Drosophila melanogaster: one gene and its partners. The protein of the gene in region 1 interacts with the protein of each later gene in a pairwise test. Each region holds a gene or a part of one and is shown in the gene's direction. Other genes may lie near its edges.

Evidence for each region. Proteins that work in one complex are often made in the same cells at the same time.
Region 2: the proteins of OS9 (region 1) and CG10602 interact in a two-hybrid assay, tested with the Drosophila melanogaster proteins (one large-scale study listed by BioGRID).
Region 3: the proteins of OS9 (region 1) and CG1418 interact in a two-hybrid assay, tested with the Drosophila melanogaster proteins (one large-scale study listed by BioGRID).

The regions. Positions count from the first base shown.
Region 1 is NT_033779.5:19,964,575-19,968,951, reverse strand, and holds OS9 (Olfactory-specific 9), read left to right. Parts: upstream 1-2,441; 5' UTR 2,442-2,475; coding exon 2,476-2,532; intron 2,533-2,591; coding exon 2,592-3,134; 3' UTR 3,135-3,288; downstream 3,289-4,377. Other genes in the region: Hf (helical factor), read left to right, coding at 1,298-1,378, 1,442-2,005; CG10680 (uncharacterized protein), read right to left, coding at 3,671-3,889, 3,942-4,112, 4,177-4,308, 4,371-4,377.
Region 2 is NT_033779.5:18,854,266-18,861,889, reverse strand, and holds CG10602 (uncharacterized protein), read left to right. Parts: upstream 1-2,641; 5' UTR 2,642-2,729; coding exon 2,730-2,753; intron 2,754-2,814; coding exon 2,815-2,938; intron 2,939-3,427; coding exon of another isoform or gene 3,428-3,816; exon of another isoform or gene 3,817-3,862; intron 3,863-4,210; exon of another isoform or gene 4,211-4,348; intron 4,349-4,486; coding exon 4,487-4,713; intron 4,714-4,825; coding exon 4,826-4,974; intron 4,975-5,041; coding exon 5,042-5,747; intron 5,748-5,812; coding exon 5,813-6,637; 3' UTR 6,638-6,764; downstream 6,765-7,624. Other genes in the region: tup (tailup), read left to right, coding at 1-208, 685-913, 977-1,203; mRpL13 (mitochondrial ribosomal protein L13), read left to right, coding at 2,730-2,753, 2,815-2,938, 3,428-3,816; CG17321 (uncharacterized protein), read right to left, coding at 7,386-7,579.
Region 3 is NT_033778.4:9,962,975-9,967,945, reverse strand, and holds CG1418 (uncharacterized protein), read left to right. Parts: upstream 1-2,878; 5' UTR 2,879-3,229; coding exon 3,230-3,312; intron 3,313-3,364; coding exon 3,365-3,571; intron 3,572-3,624; coding exon 3,625-3,916; 3' UTR 3,917-4,111; downstream 4,112-4,971. Other genes in the region: CG12133 (uncharacterized protein), read right to left, coding at 1-69, 134-681; Pal1 (Peptidyl-alpha-hydroxyglycine-alpha-amidating lyase 1), read right to left, coding at 4,579-4,748.

The DNA.
Region 1 (4,377 bases):
AACTTTAGCTAGCATAAGATAGAAGCATATTATTTTTGCATTTTGTCACGATTATTTTATAACTTGTTATCGACTATTGGGGTCTGCATGGCCCCAATGTCCTGAATGTCAGATGTACCTTGAGAACTCGTAAAATACTGTAAAGATTTAATCCAAATATCAGCGTTAGTATAAGCAACTGAATTAGAATCTCCTTAGGTGTGAACTACGACAATGGCTGCTATCAGGTCTCAATTATAAAGAATATTATATATATATATATATATTTAAAAGCCAAATCAGTACAATGCCTGGACAACTGCAACACAAAAAGCTATGTATATATGCGAAATAACTTATATCAAATATATATCAATATGCAACTTGGTGTTTCAGTGATAGTCCTACTACAATGTGTACCTACATATGTGTGTTATCTCGAAATGCGGATTAAAATTGTTCAAAACAAAAAATTTTCAGTATTCAACTATAAAGTATGCATTCCTAAGTCAATTGGACGTTAATTTAATTATTTTAAGCTGATTGTTGAAAATGCCAGTGCATTTGCCAACAATCGCGGGTAAAGCGTATTATTCTGAACGTAAATGTAATAAGACTTATGTATAAGTACTTTTGCAGAGATACAAAATGAAATAGTTATAAGGACGTTTATCGCATGCCAAACGATCCTTGATCCTTGATATTTTTTGATTTTACACAACTTTAAAAGATAATATAGAAAATATGGTTATTGTACAAATTATTAAGGATGTTTTGGTAATCCAGACTCTTTTCTTTACAATTAAATTTATTTAAAAACACTTTTTCGATTTTACCAACCTTTAGAGATCAGATTGAAAATGTTGTAAGTGTACAAAAGAATGAGCATATTTTGATTATCCGGACGACTTTCTTCCCGTTACAAGCCAATTTACAAATGCTGAATATGAATATATATATACATATAGTCCGGATCAATATGAGAATGCAGTAGCTTGCTAATAACCTAAGTATATGCTAAGATGTGTAATTTACAAATCTAATTGTTAATGTTACTCGTGTGTATGCAGATTACTACTAACATTCGACTAGACGGCATCTTTTTTTCCTAGCTAGCTTAAATAGAAAACCACGAACGAACATTAATGGCCATTAATTTGCTCACTCTACGAAATTCGTATAAACAGTACTTGAGATATTTTCTACTTGCGCTTAATAAAACAAACAAAACCTAAGCCAGTCGAGATTGTTTGGGTGGGGAGACCGTTTGGCATCCGTCCGACATGATCAGTCTAAATCGAGCAGCGATCAGAGGAGCATGGCGAGATCAGGGCGCAGTTCGAGGTTTCTTATCGGCGGCAGCACTTGCTGTTCGATGCTTCTGGGTCTTATCTGTCTGGTGAGTCGGTGAGTCGGCAGTGGATTAGATAAGGAACTTATTGATTTTCCTCTCGATTGCCAGGCTCTGGCGGACTCATCCCAAGTGAAAGAACGCAGCCCTACCATCTTGGTGAGAAATACAATTCAAGCGGTGGAGAGGCTCTTCAATCAGGTGCTCTACACGACCATCGAAGATGCCCGCCAACGACTACCGGGTCTTCCGGCCAACGAAACCATCGATCGGCAGTACTTCGAGGAGCTCGACCTGGTTGCTGGGAACGAGGACTATTACAGCACTGCATTCTATATCTTCGCCTGGATAAACAGCGACCTCATGTACCATAAGACTCCCGATAAGTTGCTCGTCGAGGTTCTTCCCGGCGAGAAGATCGCCATCCGCAGATTCTTCGCCAAGGTCAAGCCGCATCTTACCAAGTATCTGCGACTCAGTCGACAGGACAGGTCGGAATTGGTTTCCAACGTCACCCAGTTGGCCACCGAAACCAAGGACAGTCTGATCACAACCTTCTTGGAGTTTCCCCAGAACCTGAAGAGCCAACTTCCTGAGCTCCAGCTAATGGACTACACCAAATTGGCTCAGGCTTTGGTGCAGGGGGTGGCCAGTGGTATATGGACGAAGGCTTAAGATTAATAGCTAAATATTTAAACAATATCATAGAATTAGAAAGTGTTTGTAATAAAATGAGAAATGTACTTCAAAGAACAATATTCGGAATCTATTTATACGAGGACTTTATTCCTGAAAAATGCCGTTTAACTTCCGGAAAATTTCCGACTGTCTGATCAACATGTGTAGATATCGAGAACTGATACTTTAAAGCAATAAAGATATTATCGTGACTTGGAACTATATACGACTTTGTAATAACAAAATGCATGGTTTCCACTACCCACTAATTAATATACGAAGGGGCAGCACTCGTTCTTATCACGCTCACCGATTTCTGAAGTCTGATTACAGTCTATACGTTGTCTCACGATCAGTGGGTATTCATTACAGAGGAGGCGTTCTCCCATTTTGTATAAAAATTGTGAATTTAAGAGAGGGAATATAAAAGGAATCAGTTCGATAGAGACTAGATACAGTTTCAAATCATGGCCAGCAGACTAACTTGGACTTTTCTAGTCGCTGTAGCTGCCCTCCAGCTTTCGGTAAGATCCTTAGATTTGCTTATATCCTTTTGGAATCAACAGAAACCTTTAACTTTCAGCTTGCAGCGCCTCTCATTAACAAATGGCAGTTACAATTCGAAGTGTCCAATGAACTCTTTCAAATGGTAACAGACGCCATGGAACAGCTACGACATGTCTTTCAATTGGTCATCGACGAGGCCGAACTCATTTTACCACCAAACTCCAAGGGACACATTCTCAGGGAGCTTAAGGACTTCGTCGCGGCCTTGGACACCCTGGACTTCGATGATTCATTCGAGCTGAACAGACTGGAGGATGCTCTTGAGGAACTGGAAAGCATCATTTCGATTGCAGGCAGCAAAGAATTCGAATCGGAAGCTGACGAGGTTGTCGTTCAGCTATTCATACAGCACGGAGTTGAGGACCTGGAGCAGATCCTGGAAAGAAACTTGGAAACTACTCTGAAAATCGTAGAGCAGAAGGTGGAGAAATACATGAGCACATGGTCCGACAGTCGGTTGGCCAGGAACGCGGCGATGGTCAAGCAGTTTAATGACTTTAAGAACGAAAAGGATGTCTATGAGAAGCTGGACAAGTTAACCAACTCTGATTTCATTTGAATAAACATATCATGTTTCAAGTACATTTAAGTTTAAACCAAATAACTACAGATACATAGTCCGAACGTATATATTATTTCCAGAAACTGCCTTGCAAATATCAAAACCAGTAGTCCAGAGTTCATGTTTTGTATTAGCACGCTCGCCGGAAGCTAAAATTTGATTACATATTGCAGCTGATTTAACAATCAATGAGCATATAATAAATACGCTAGTAAGTGTTTACTACTTAGTGCAGGTATGACGTAAGAAATGTGGAATTCATTTTACAAAGGTATTGAATACCTTAATATACCTTTTTTAGATTTGTAAGCTGTCAGGTTTCAATAGCTTTGAAAGTTTTACTGACTTTCTATTCAATACAATTGTTATTTAGTCTGATAAATAAACCGTGCGGAAAGTAAAATAACTGATTATTTGTAATGCCAAGAATCTTTACATTACACACAGACAAGTCAGTATAATCTCTAGCAGCCTTAACTAGTTGTTTTTGAGAACTCGGAACTTTCATTCATCAGCTTCTCTTAGGAAAGGTGTTAAAAGTTGCGATAAGATGATCCAAATCCATCCCGCGAGTCGAACACATCCCGCTCGATTTGGGGAGGTCCTCTTCCATCCGATGTGTAGCTATAGGATTCGCTCCGGTAAAAGTTGTTAGAAGAGCCCCCGGAACCAAGGGGACCACTTCTACCAGTCGGAATACTGGAACCACCGGCGATAAGGGGGATAATGGAACCACTGGATGGCATAGGTACCTGGAGAAGGTGTATTAGTTTTTTAGTTAGGAAAACGATTGCACAAGATTACCGGTCGAGATACAAAGGTTCCTAAGTTTTGATTGCGGAATGGGGAGTCAGGAATTGGTCGAATGCCTCTGCCACGGAAATCCGGGGAACTGGGAAAAGGTCTGTTGTCGAAGCCGCTGCCTCTGGGACCCACATTGTAATCGGTTTGGAATGCATTGTCATAGTTGGGTTGCTGAAATAGTTCAATCGTCAATCGGATTGTAATACTATGTGTAACTACTTATAAAAACACTTACACGAATGGGGAAACCGTTGGATCGGGGAGGGATCTGAGGATAAAACGGTCGAGGTTGGAAGGGGATAGGTCGGAGTGGAACGTCCTCCTCTTCGTAGGTGTCGGTCACCTCCTCCACTTCACCGCTAGATCTCTTCAAGGATAATAAATATATATTTATTTCCATTTATATTAAGTGTATTGGATGAGACTCACCTCTAGA
Region 2 (7,624 bases), 1.1 Mb from region 1:
CAAGCTGGGCTACGGCGCCATGCAGGGCATCCCCATGATCGCCAGTTCCCCGGTGCGGCATGACTCCCCACTGAATCTTCAGGGCCTGGATGTGCAGACATATCAACCGCCATGGAAAGCCTTAAGCGACTTCGCCCTTCACGCCGATCTCGACAGCAATGGAGCGATCAATACCCACACGCCCGCATTTCAGCAGTTGGTCAATCAGGTAGGGATATATGTACAATTATTTTAAACGGGATAGTAATCCCTCTAATCCCTTTATTAAACCATGATCGGAAACGAGTTTATTTTGATTTTAACGTGAGCCAAAGCCACCAACTAGATTGCATAATTTTCGCTATGGTTGTTTGCTTGCCAATTGAAAACTGGTTAGGATATATTATAAATATGCGAGAAATAAACCGATTAAAAACATTTTTGCCATACGTGTATCAATAAACTTCACAGACGATGATGAATGGATAATAAATTAGTAGTTTAGCTGTTATCACCAAGATGACCGTGAATACATTTTATTTCTATGTCTTTCAATCCCCCCAATAAATGTTTACATTTCAATAAATACACAGATTCTAAAAAAAAGAAGAAGACAAGTACATTTTCGATTATGAAAAATAAGTTATGAGGATATTTAAATAATCCACAACTGACATCTAACCCCTTTCCGCTCCCTTCCCGCAGATGCACGGCTACGACCTGAACGGGATGCCCATTCTGCCGCCGCATCCGCACTCGCATCCGGCGCAAGGACCTCCCCACCAGCACCCCCCGCCCCCCGGCGGACCGCACAACCATCAGAACCAGCAGCCGAACCAGCAGCCCGGAGGCAGCAGTTTGGACTCCGGGATCACCTCGCACCACCATCCGGACAGCACCGACTCCTACGTCACCTACCTGGAGAGCGATGACAGTATGCAGGGCAGTCCGTAGACAATCGAACCGAATCTAATCCAGCTTCTTTTGTTGCTCCCAGAATCCAAGCTGGCGCTGACCCCGTCGTCCTCTTCCTCGGCCTCGGCGGGCACATCGATCTCCTCGCCGCCATCGGGCGTCGGAGCAGGGGGTGGCGGTGCCGTGGGCGGTGGTTCAGGTGTCCTGGGCTTGGGCGTGGTGGCCAATCAGTCGGCCACCGAGCAGCTCATGCAAATGCTCCAGAAGGTAACGGGCTCGGCTTCCCCGGCCTCACATGCGGTTCTCTAAAAACAAAGGGCGCGCAGAGGGCGTGGCAGGAAGCTCGAACGTGAGGAGCTGCAGTCGATCTTCATAAACTCGAAAAGTTGTCTTGCAAAATATTGACACCCGTGCTGAAATTCTGGTGTACAATTGAATACTTCTTTAAATACCCAAATCATTTGTACTTTATTCAATAATTTTATCAAAAAGTGTTCCCATTTTACTTCAAAACGATTCGAAGTTTCATCAATAGTTTTATCCAGTAAGTGGAGTTCGACTGTATTCGGGGTTGTGCAATTCTTTCTGTCCGCATTTTCATATTCTACTCATGTGTATTCTGTACATTTAATTTTATTCTGTTTGATTCGGTGCCAAAAAATAGTCTGTAGGCCGTTGGCATTTTGTGGATAATCTGGCTCTGGTTCGTTATGTAACATACACTTTTGTTGTTGAGTTCGAAGAAAAAAAGATCATGAAAAAATTAATGTAAGCTAAACAAAAATGCTCACACACTTGAAAAGTTATTACAATAATTTCAGACACGAAAACAAAAATTATGATAACAAAAGGAAAACAGTTACTTCGCATCAAGTAGGGAATTTCATTAAACATAAATTTGTAAATACCTTTTATATATTAATAATAAACAAATATATTTTCATTCAAAATGCAAAAGAACCGATCGAAAGAAAGCATTCAAAAACGAAAAGAGAATCTGACTCGTGTGTATTATATGGTATTTGGGATGTCAAATCCGAGGCGTAGCTATAAACTATAAAGGCGCACTTGGCAAACTTGTAAATCGAATTAGCAACAACAAAAGCATCTACGTTAAGTTCATAAATTGTATGGCAAAAGAAACACAAAATTATTATAAATAAATAAATGCAGAAAAGCGGACGGGAATTTTATGTAAGCGAGAAACAAAAACTGTAACTAAATCTAGACTTATTTGTTAGTTTTTAAACATTTCCGAAATGCATTAGAAGACGAGGGAGACAACAAATCCGGCAGCGGAAAGGCAGAAAGAAATGACGAAGTGTACCAAGGATGTTTATGAACTGTTTCGTAAAACAACTAATGTATTTTCAATAATATTTAACTAATATTAATAATAAACAGTGCATAAGTAATTTTAGTAACTATAGAAAATGTTTAAATGAAATTACAAACGAAAATAAAACCACAAAAAAACAAGACGAAAAATAACAAAAATACCCTGTCTTATTTTTAAAAGAAGATATTTTAAAAGAAATCATTTCATTTCTTAATTTCGTTGTCACACTGCTTGCAATGCTAAAAAGTACTGCTTAACACAATTGATGAACTGCTTCCATACGGTTTGAGTCACGGTAATGTGTAATATGAATCCAATTGGAATGTGTCTGAACTGCTTCTGTGGTTGGGACCTTTGCTAAGGGAATGGTATTGCATTTTTTAGTCATTATTATCGCTTTGTTAAACGATATTTTTCAAACTTCATACCTTGGTCACACTGTCTGCCAGCTGAGAAATTATTTTTATTTAAATTGTTTAATTAAAAATCTCAAAAAATGTCCATTGCGAAGCGTGTGCAGGTGCGTAAGCTCACTACCCTCAATGTGCAATAGGTAATCATTAAATTTCCTCCGGATTTAGCAATGGGCAACGTTCGCGCGCACTTGGCACATTTACGATTGCACCTGGCAGAATCCATTCGAGTCGGCAAAACTGGTTAAAACGCATTTATTGGGCCTCCAAAAGCCCATTTACCACCCAATGAGTAAGTGTTATCCTTTGGCGCAGTTTTTGTTTAGTTTCGATCTCGACAGCGTTTGATTTAAGCCCTTTTTTGGGGTATTTCGATGTCATTACATCACCGGCGTGTTTTCTTAGTTGTTGTTGTTGTTGTTGTTGTTGCTGCTGCAAGTATAAAATGAAAACAAATAAATTTTAATCCAAAAACGGTAATTATTTGACCATTCAGCCTGCGATTCAAATAGTAGTATGAATTCGGTAATAATCCTTGTTTGTTTAATCCTTAAACAAATATGTTTAATTAAAAATCCTCATACTCATAAGGATCTACTAAATGGTCGCCGATTATATATAGTTACTTCCTCTGCTAAGACTAAAACTACTATTTGGAGCGCAACTGAATGACGGTTCAGGTATTTCATACCTTATTTTTGACCAGTGATTATTGTACTTTTAGGTTAAGCAAGTAATCCCCAACGGCCATCCAATAAAAACCGTACATGTAATTTTCCAGATGACTGCGGGGATCATGTGGTGCTGATCAACACGCGGGAAATCGCTTTGCCCGGTGACGAGTGGGTGAAGAGGGTTTACTTCCACCACACCGGCTATCCTGGTGGCGCTTCGTGGACCCTGGCGTGGCAGCTGCACGAGAAGGATCCCACGATGGTGATGAAGAAGGCCGTGTACAACTCGATGCGCGGAAATCTGCAGCGCAGGCACACCATGCAAAGACTGCACTTGTTCGCCGACGATCAGGTGCCCGAGGAAATCCTGCAAAACGTCACGAATCAAATCCGCACGCCGCGCTCTATTCCCCAGCGTCTGGATCATATCGACAAAGAAACGCTGGAGAACTTCCCCAACATTATGGATTATCCCAAGGATTATATCTTGCGTTGATATGCTGATAGGAAATCATTGTAATTAAGATAAATACAAAATATGGAAAAAGCTTATTGAAGTTTTAATTTTTTTTTTTCAATTCTTATTTTCTATAGCCAAATTTTATGTGATTTTATTGTTTATTACATGGTATAACGGCGGCGACTTCACTAATCTAAAAGCGTGAGATTTTTTTGGGCTGGCAATACTGCAAAAGGGATGCCAGGCAGCTAAGCTTCAGGTTAATTTTTATAGACTTTACAATTTATGTCAGAATAGCAAGAATTTAAAGAAAGTAACTTGGCACTGGAAATAACGTATTTAGTTTGGCAAGCTGCTTAATTTATTTCATAATTAATAGATTGTTGTGTCTAACACTTTGCGATCCTCGACAACCCTGCAATTTACCGGCTGTGTGGCAGTGAATTGCAACTTATTCATCTCATTTGTATCTGCTTCATTTTGCACCCATATCTATCGACGCCGCCCACGAATTATTTTAACGTACGTGAATAAATATACTATATAGAAAGTGCGGTCATCACTTAACGTAAATATCTTAAACCACACAACAGCAGCTGTTAGAATTTAACCACAGCTTTTGGCTTATCTGTGCACATTTTTATGGCATACGATAGCACTATCGCAGAAAGTTAACAATTTTCAAATATTTCTTACTCTTTTTCAGTCTCTACTCGCGGCTTGTGCACTTCACACAAACTACTCCCGATTTACCAAGTACAAAAACGCAACATGGGTCGCTTAGGAGTCGTGGATCCCAGTTCTTACTCGCAGCCCGATTTGATCACCACTGAGCACAGTGCTCTCAACTGGAAGATCGACTTTGCAGCAACCAAAATCCAAGGAAGCGTGCTCCATCGCTTCAAGGTGTTGACTGCCAATCTGGACAAAATTGTGAGTACTTGGGGGAACGCACTGGATCCAGCATAAGAATTCTGGAAGATATTCATTCCGCGGCATGTTCCTAGAACTTCTTATTTACCCATTTACCTTACATGTAACTTAGCTCCTTGATGTCCGCGACATCAATGTAACCAATGCCACGCTGCTGGCCGGAGGCAGTGAGCTCCCGATCAACTTCTTTATCAGCGATGCCGTCGATGATATTGGCCAGAAGCTAACGCTGGAGTTGCCATCTGGAACGGCTAAGGGAAGGTAAAACCTCGGCGATAGATAATCTAATCTATGAAAGTCATTAATAATCTAAAACACTCCTATCTAGCCTTAACGTTCGCATCGATTACGAGACTTCAAGCAGCGCCAGTGGGTTGCAGTGGCTGAATCCCACCCAGACTTTGGGCAAGGAGCATCCTTATATGTTCTCCCAATGCCAGGCAATCCACGCTCGCTCGGTGATTCCCTGCCAAGACACGCCAGCTGTTAAGTTTACCTATGATGCCACAGTGGAGCATCCCAGCGAGCTCACGGCCCTGATGAGCGCCCTTATCGATAAGAAGGAACCGGGAAAGACACTATTCAAGCAGGAGGTGCCCATTCCCGCTTATCTGGTGGCCATTGCCATTGGCAAATTGGTTTCCCGCCCGCTGGGGGAGAACTCCAGTGTCTGGGCTGAGGAAGCCATCGTGGATGCCTGCGCCGAGGAGTTTTCCGAAACAGCTACCATGCTAAAGACTGCCACTGAGTTGTGTGGTCCGTATGTCTGGAAGCAGTACGATCTTCTGGTGATGCCCCCCTCATTCCCCTTTGGTGGCATGGAGAATCCATGCCTCACCTTCGTAACTCCCACTCTTTTGGCCGGTGATAAGTCTCTGGCCGACGTTGTGGCTCACGAGATAGCCCACAGCTGGACTGGTAATCTTGTGACCAACAAGAACTTCGAGCATTTCTGGTTGAACGAGGGCTTCACTGTGTTCGTGGAATCCAAGATCGTGGGAAGAATGCAGGGCGCCAAGGAGTTGGACTTTAAAGTAAGCATATCACTTGAGTTGCAGTTCAGTTACAAGCCTTCAACAATTTCTATCGCTCTTCCTAGATGCTCAGCAATCTCACGGATCTGCAGGAGTGCATCCGCACTCAGCTCAACAAGACACCCGAGCTGACTAAGCTGGTGGTGGATCTATCCAACTGTGGACCCGACGATGCCTTCTCTTCAGTGCCTTACATTAAGGGTTCGACGTTCCTGCGCTACTTGGAGGACTTGTTTGGCGGACCAACCGTTTTTGAGCCTTTCCTGAGAGACTATCTGAAAAAATACGCCTACAAGTCGATTGAGACGAAAGATTTCCAGAGTGCTTTATATGACTACTTCATCGACACGGACAAGAAGGATAAGCTGAGTGCTGTCGACTGGGACTTGTGGCTGAAATCCGAGGGAATGCCACCCGTCATTCCGAACTTCGATGAATCCCTCGCTAATGTGACCAAGGAATTGGCCAGTCTCTGGAGCTCTAAGAGCGTGGCTGAATTGGCTGACAGTGCGGAGATCAAGACGACCATTTCCATTCACCAGCTCATTGACTTCCTGGGCAAACTGATCGAGAGCAAGGACATTGTCGATTTGAACGAAGGCAAGATTAATCTACTGGAATCCACATACAACCTGAAGAGTTCGAAGAACGCCGAGGTTCGCTTCCGATTGAATCGCTTGATTATCCGTGCACGCTTGATAAAACGTCTGGATGAGATCCTCGAATTTGCCAACTCCAACTTCCGCATGAAGTTCTGTCGCCCCATCTACCGCGATCTGGCTGGTTGGCCAGAGGCCAAGCCCGCTGCTATTCGCAACTTCGTCAACGTCAAGGATCAGATGATGGCCGTCTGCTCGCATACAATTGAAAAGGACCTGGGGCTGAAGTAAATCTAAGCCTGTTGCATGCATTTCCGAAGCACTAGAATAATCTTGTTGCATTATAATGATTTGATTGTCACATTTGAACACATTTAAACAGAAGAGAAATAGATTTGATTTCTAAAAAGAACAAGTGAAATTAGTTGATTTTGTTTTTCTTGAATTAGTTGTTTTTATTAAAAAATAAGCAAAACTACGTTTATAACAAGTTGATTTCCATGTCCATGCTCATTGTAATCTTCCAATTCTAATCTTCAATTTTGCTTGCAATTTCCGCGCGTTACCTTGATACCGTATAGTTACCAATTTAATATCCTTTTTAGTTATAGCTCGACATTGACCAATTTCAAGGGTGTTGGTGTTCGTATAACTAATCAAATGGGCGTAGATCAGGTTGATCTGCGTTTCAAATTTCTTGTGGCTTAAATTCTTTAAATTTCTCTCTCGGCTCGTAGTACACATACACACAATATATATTAAATTTATTATTGTTTGCTTTGCTCGGCTGCTTAAATATTTCCTCTCTTGGTGTCTCAACTTCTAATTCCGACGAGTTTCGCGTGTGGTTTTAAACTAATTAACAATTTTGTCCGTTGTGTTCGTTCACTTTCTACGTCGACCAAAGTGCTGCAACATGCTTCCAATTGATTTTCCCGAATTTAATGGCTTAGAGATCTCTGTAACTATTCCCCTTCCTTGGACGCCTGGCCAAGCTCTCCCTGCTGTGTCCTTCGTCTGGCTGAGGCATTAAGAACTATCACGCACTAGAGTTATCATTGGAACGGGACGTGGATGGACCGGCACCCTGATCATCGCCCAGCACGAATGTGGGACTCTGGCGGGATGTGTGATAGTGGTAGCCCTCTCGATAGCGCTGATTGGGTTTCGACCGTGCGGTTTGTGTGTGACCCAATGCTGGACGCTGATTGTTGAGCTCATTGGGTCGTTTGGCTGCAAATGAGACATGTTACCATCACATCACCCCAAATAGAAGTA
Region 3 (4,971 bases), on another chromosome or scaffold:
TTTTTGAAGGAGGAAGTTGACAATTCAATGCCAGGCCAAATGCAAATGGGTCTGATCTGAAGAGTGTATCTGAAAGAGAGGACATCGATGGGAAAATGTGAAAAGAGGGAACCCCAAAGAGCACACTACTTACTTCACCCGACTCTTCAGACGCAACAGAGCAATGTCGTTGTAGTGTCTTCCATTTCTCGTGTAGTACTGCTCGTGCGGAACCCTCAGATCCACATCGATGTCCACGTGCGCTGGAGCCCATATCTTGGCTCCATTCGGCAGCCAGGTGTAGTCGGGATCGTTCTCGGTGTCATGCTCGCCCAGGCGCACACGTGCCACGTAGAAGTCATTCACATTCAAACAATGGGCTGCCGTCAGCACATAGCGACTGGCGATCAAGGAGCCCGCACACATGGGAGACGGTCGCTGCTTTGCTGTGTAGGCTTCGTAACCCAGCAGGACTGTCCAGGGAAACTGGTTGGACTGTGCCTCCATGCCGCCTACGATATATGACGAAGGAGGACTCTGTCCGCAGACCCTGCTATCTGGTAGTTTATCCCCTGCAACCATCGGGCAGCAGGTAAAAACCATGTGCACTAGCTCGTGGGCAAAAGGATTAATGTTGCATAGTTTGTTCCGGTACTGTGATTTTTGATCGTTTGTCATGTTCCGGGGATGTAGAATCTTCATAAGAGGTTCACATTTGCTCAGTGGGATGCAAATCTCGTCTAGTCGGCAAAAATTGAATTTTGCTAAGGGGGGTAACAAAAATTGACCAATTAATGGAGCTCAAAATGGCCGAAAATAGCATTTGTAACACTGTATGAAATCCTATTAAAGATTGCATTTTCCTGGTAAGACTATAGTTTTGTGTAGCGAAATCAACCCAATGAAGTTCCAATTTTGTAATTATAAGGTATTAATTATTGTTGAGACCAAAAATAGATCCGTGAGCTGCCAAAGTATATATTTAACACTGACACTGATCCGATGAAATTGTAGATATGTATATTGTATTGTAGTTGCCACTATTTACCAAATTGGAAAGAATTCGCCAAGGAAATCGCTTGAAGCAAAAGTGCCAAATAAAAATGGATCGAGACCATCTTGAAATGTCAAAGCCTAACCGAATACTGAATTCAAAAGCCAGTTGGTCTTAAAAGTTCAAGCTTATCTCGATTGCTAAAATGATTCATGGCACGATGTCCAATCCACAACTTTCCTTGGGTTAATTATAATGGCCTGCCTGTCCGTCCGTATGAATGTCGAGATGTCGGAAACATTAAGAGTAAGGAAGCATGTAAGTTTTCTTTAAAACCGTGCCACGCCCCTGTTACGCCCTAAACTCCTAAAACGCTCACATCCTAAAAGTCTTCTGGATACCAGGAAACGTTCAAATCCTACTACTTTTAAACATATCAAAACTGTAGTAATAGATTGATCAGAGCTATATCCTTGCTACACGCCAAATTATTCAAATTCTACATATCCATATGTTGCAGGTTCATAAACTGAGTAACAGGTATCTAACAGTCGCAACACTCGAATACATTCACAGGTTTTTTGGAAATGAAGGACACCATCACCCTGATACCGCGTGACTAGAACGAGATTTATTTTTTACTTTCTCCACAATCCCAAAATACCGTTGAACAAAAAGATGATAATCAATTTCCATCTCCGTAAACAAATATAAATCCATTCTGAATATTTCAAGACACAATTTTTTTAAGTTAAAATCAAAAATCTGATTCATACCGGAACTGTGAAAAAATACTTATCACTTGTGTCACACCAGCAATATGTTATGACGTCAAAAATCCATATCTGTAAATATATCTAAGTTAGAACTTTTATTATATAGTCTATATTCATAATGGTAATGCAAATGAAAACTCTCTTAACTTCTAAAACTCTTTGTTGGTAAATGTAAATAGAAATGTAACATTTAACCTGAGTGTGTATACAAGATACAAGAAATATAAGATATGTATGTATTAGCCAGAAGACCTGAGAAAAATTTAATGGATGTTGTGTTATCCGTCAAATAAATTGTTCAAAAAATATTTAAAATATCAGCGCGATTCTTACCTGTTACTTGTAAAGCAACGCAGACTCTTAAAATTTCTTTCGTTACGCCTACTTATATAAAAGGAAATTAAAAGAATTGCTTAATATGTTTGCTTTGTTTGGCCTTGTTAAAAGAAATAATAAGTAATTCTGTGATGAAAACATTTTTAAGCAGAGAGAACTATATAGTCCAGTTCCTCGACTATCAGATACCAATTACTCAGCTGGTGGAAAAGTTCAACATTCATTTTGGCTTATCTATACAAATTGGAAAAAAAAATAATAAGATGAAAAATAGGCAAGTAACTTTTTAAAAGTGTGGGTTTGGTTTGGTTTGGGCGCATCCAACATATCTTTTGCCATACTGATAACAAATAGTAAAATTAAAAAATGTCTACACATAAAAGTGAAGACGTAGCAGATTTCAGTGTTAAAATGGGCGTGGTAAAAGGTTTTTGGCATAGCTCTAGAAATTGGCAAGACAAGTAATAAAATGAAAAAAAATCGATTCATTTTTTTAAATTGTGGCGTTGCATCATCAGAAAGAAACTGAATTTCTAATCTTAACTTTCTAGCTTTAATAGTTCAAGTTAATAGACAAGGATATCAAAAATATATACATTTTTAAACGAATCTAGTATAACCATCTACTACACGAGTAATAGGTAGAAAAATATAATTGTTTTGTGTAAAAATATCATTAAAAAATAATTCAAATGTTTAGAGAAAAAGTTTTGTATTAAATGTTTGATTGCATTCAGCGCTTTGGATTTGTTTTCAGTTGATTTCGAGAATTTGCGCACTCGCAACTCTGGCCACACCGCACGTCACGGCAACGGCAATCCTAGAACTATCTGCCACATCAGATTTTTCAAACTTTGTATACTGTTTCTCAAAAGAAAACGATGTCATAGCAAATTAAGAGTGAATCGTAAAATCAACATCGAAAGTGTTGCCGCCTCCATGTAGAAGTGACCCCGCTAAAGTCCTCGCCGCTTTACAAACGCCGCAGCATCCTCAAGACAGTTCTTGGACCAAGTGGAACGAATCCAAAGATACACATAACACTTGTGGAACGCCCACACTTGTCGAAAGAAGAATTGTAGATTGCAGCGAAGACGTGTATCTAAGATAAGTGTTAGGACGAGGTTGGGAAAGCACAAGCAAAATGGCACACACTGGCGGGAACCTATCCGGTAACATGCAGCCGCCACCGCCTTCCGGAGGCAGGTTCTCCGTGGACATGCAAAGGTGAGTAAACCGTAACAAGGAGCGAATAGCTAATTACTCTTGAACCCTGCAGCCTGCCCTCGCTATCCAACCTGCCATCACCGCTGCAGATCTTCCAAATGGTCCGAAACTCCCTGCGGCCCTGGGTAGTCTTCTTCAACATCAACAATTTCAAAACGGCCATCAGCATGCAGCGGCTAAATAGCCGGGTTATTCGGAATCTCTCCTATTTTCAGGCCAACTACGTTTTCATCTTTTTTGTACTGATGATATACTGCCTGTAAGTGATTCTAAAAACCTTATTGCACCCCATTTAATAGTTATAATCTTAAGCATCACGGCTCCCTGCATTCTGCTGGTCATCCTGGCTTCCGCTTTTGGCTGCCATAAGCTGCGCGTGCGCAACAGTAACATTACCATCGTGGGACAACAACTGACGCCCAGCCAGCAGATCATCGCACTCAATCTGGCGACGGCACCAGTGCTATTCCTGGTGGGCGCGGGTGCGGTTTTGTTTTGGACGCTGGGTGCTTCATGCTTCGTGATTGCTATGCATGCTATATTCTACAACATCGATGCTATTGTAACGGAGGAGAATGAGGGTTTCCTCGCCCAGGTTGTCTGACCGCCAGCCAGAAGCTAAACCCTAGGTCTTCTGGGATCGTGGCAACCAGGGACGAGGAAAGGGGCTAAACATATTCGCCACTATGGGGCCTTGCAAGTCGACACAATATGTTGTACACCTATTTATAACGAAATCTAGTTAAGCCGCAGACTTTAAATAATCGAAATACACACTATGACAGATTCATACGACTATATTCTTTTTGGCAAATTAATCGCAATATATGAGGCGCATTCGCTGAGAACTTCGATTTAATTCGAAAAAAAAAATTAATTTAAAGGATGTGGTCAAGTCATTGGACTCTGTGGCACTTACAATATTTCAGATATTTTCGAGCTCTTTAGAGGCATGCGTTTTAAAAATGTATTCTTTTAAATAAAGAATAAATATAAGTAACCGGAAAAAAATCGCATAGTCGGTTCTCCAAAAGAAGTTTCCATAAATAAGCTGTTTAAAATACATTGAACAAACGGCTCAATAAATCAACTAGAAATACACCACGATCGGAATTCTCTGCGATATGCACCACAAGGAAGGTAAATAAAGTTACCTAAAGTACACACATATACATAGCTCGCGTAAAACTAAGTCGGTATTTCAATGAGGTACAGGTAGTTAGAACTAGGAATGCTTTGTTAGCTGCGTAAGTCTTGGTCCTTCGCCTAGGCGTACTGGGCACTCGCCAGTGTCTTCGTCTCCTGCTCCTCGTCGCTGGCCTGCTGGTCCAGCTTCTCGAATCCGTTGCGATCCCGATCGAGAAGTCCGCCCAGCTTGAAGCCATCGCTTTTCTCCCACGCGTGGCGACGACCGCGTGCTCCGAAAGGCAGGCAACCTGTGGGATATGTTGGTACAACTGATTAACTAACAATTACCATGGGATTTATATGAGCAATAACACTAGTCACCCCATTCCCTTCTTAGTTCATGCATAGATCTGCGATCTGGCGTGCACTGGAACAAACCAAAAACGAAAACAGAATACACTTAAGGATAAACGTAAATTTTGTTTGTATGCTTATGTATTTTGTATAAAAAGTTGTATATAATTTGTATAT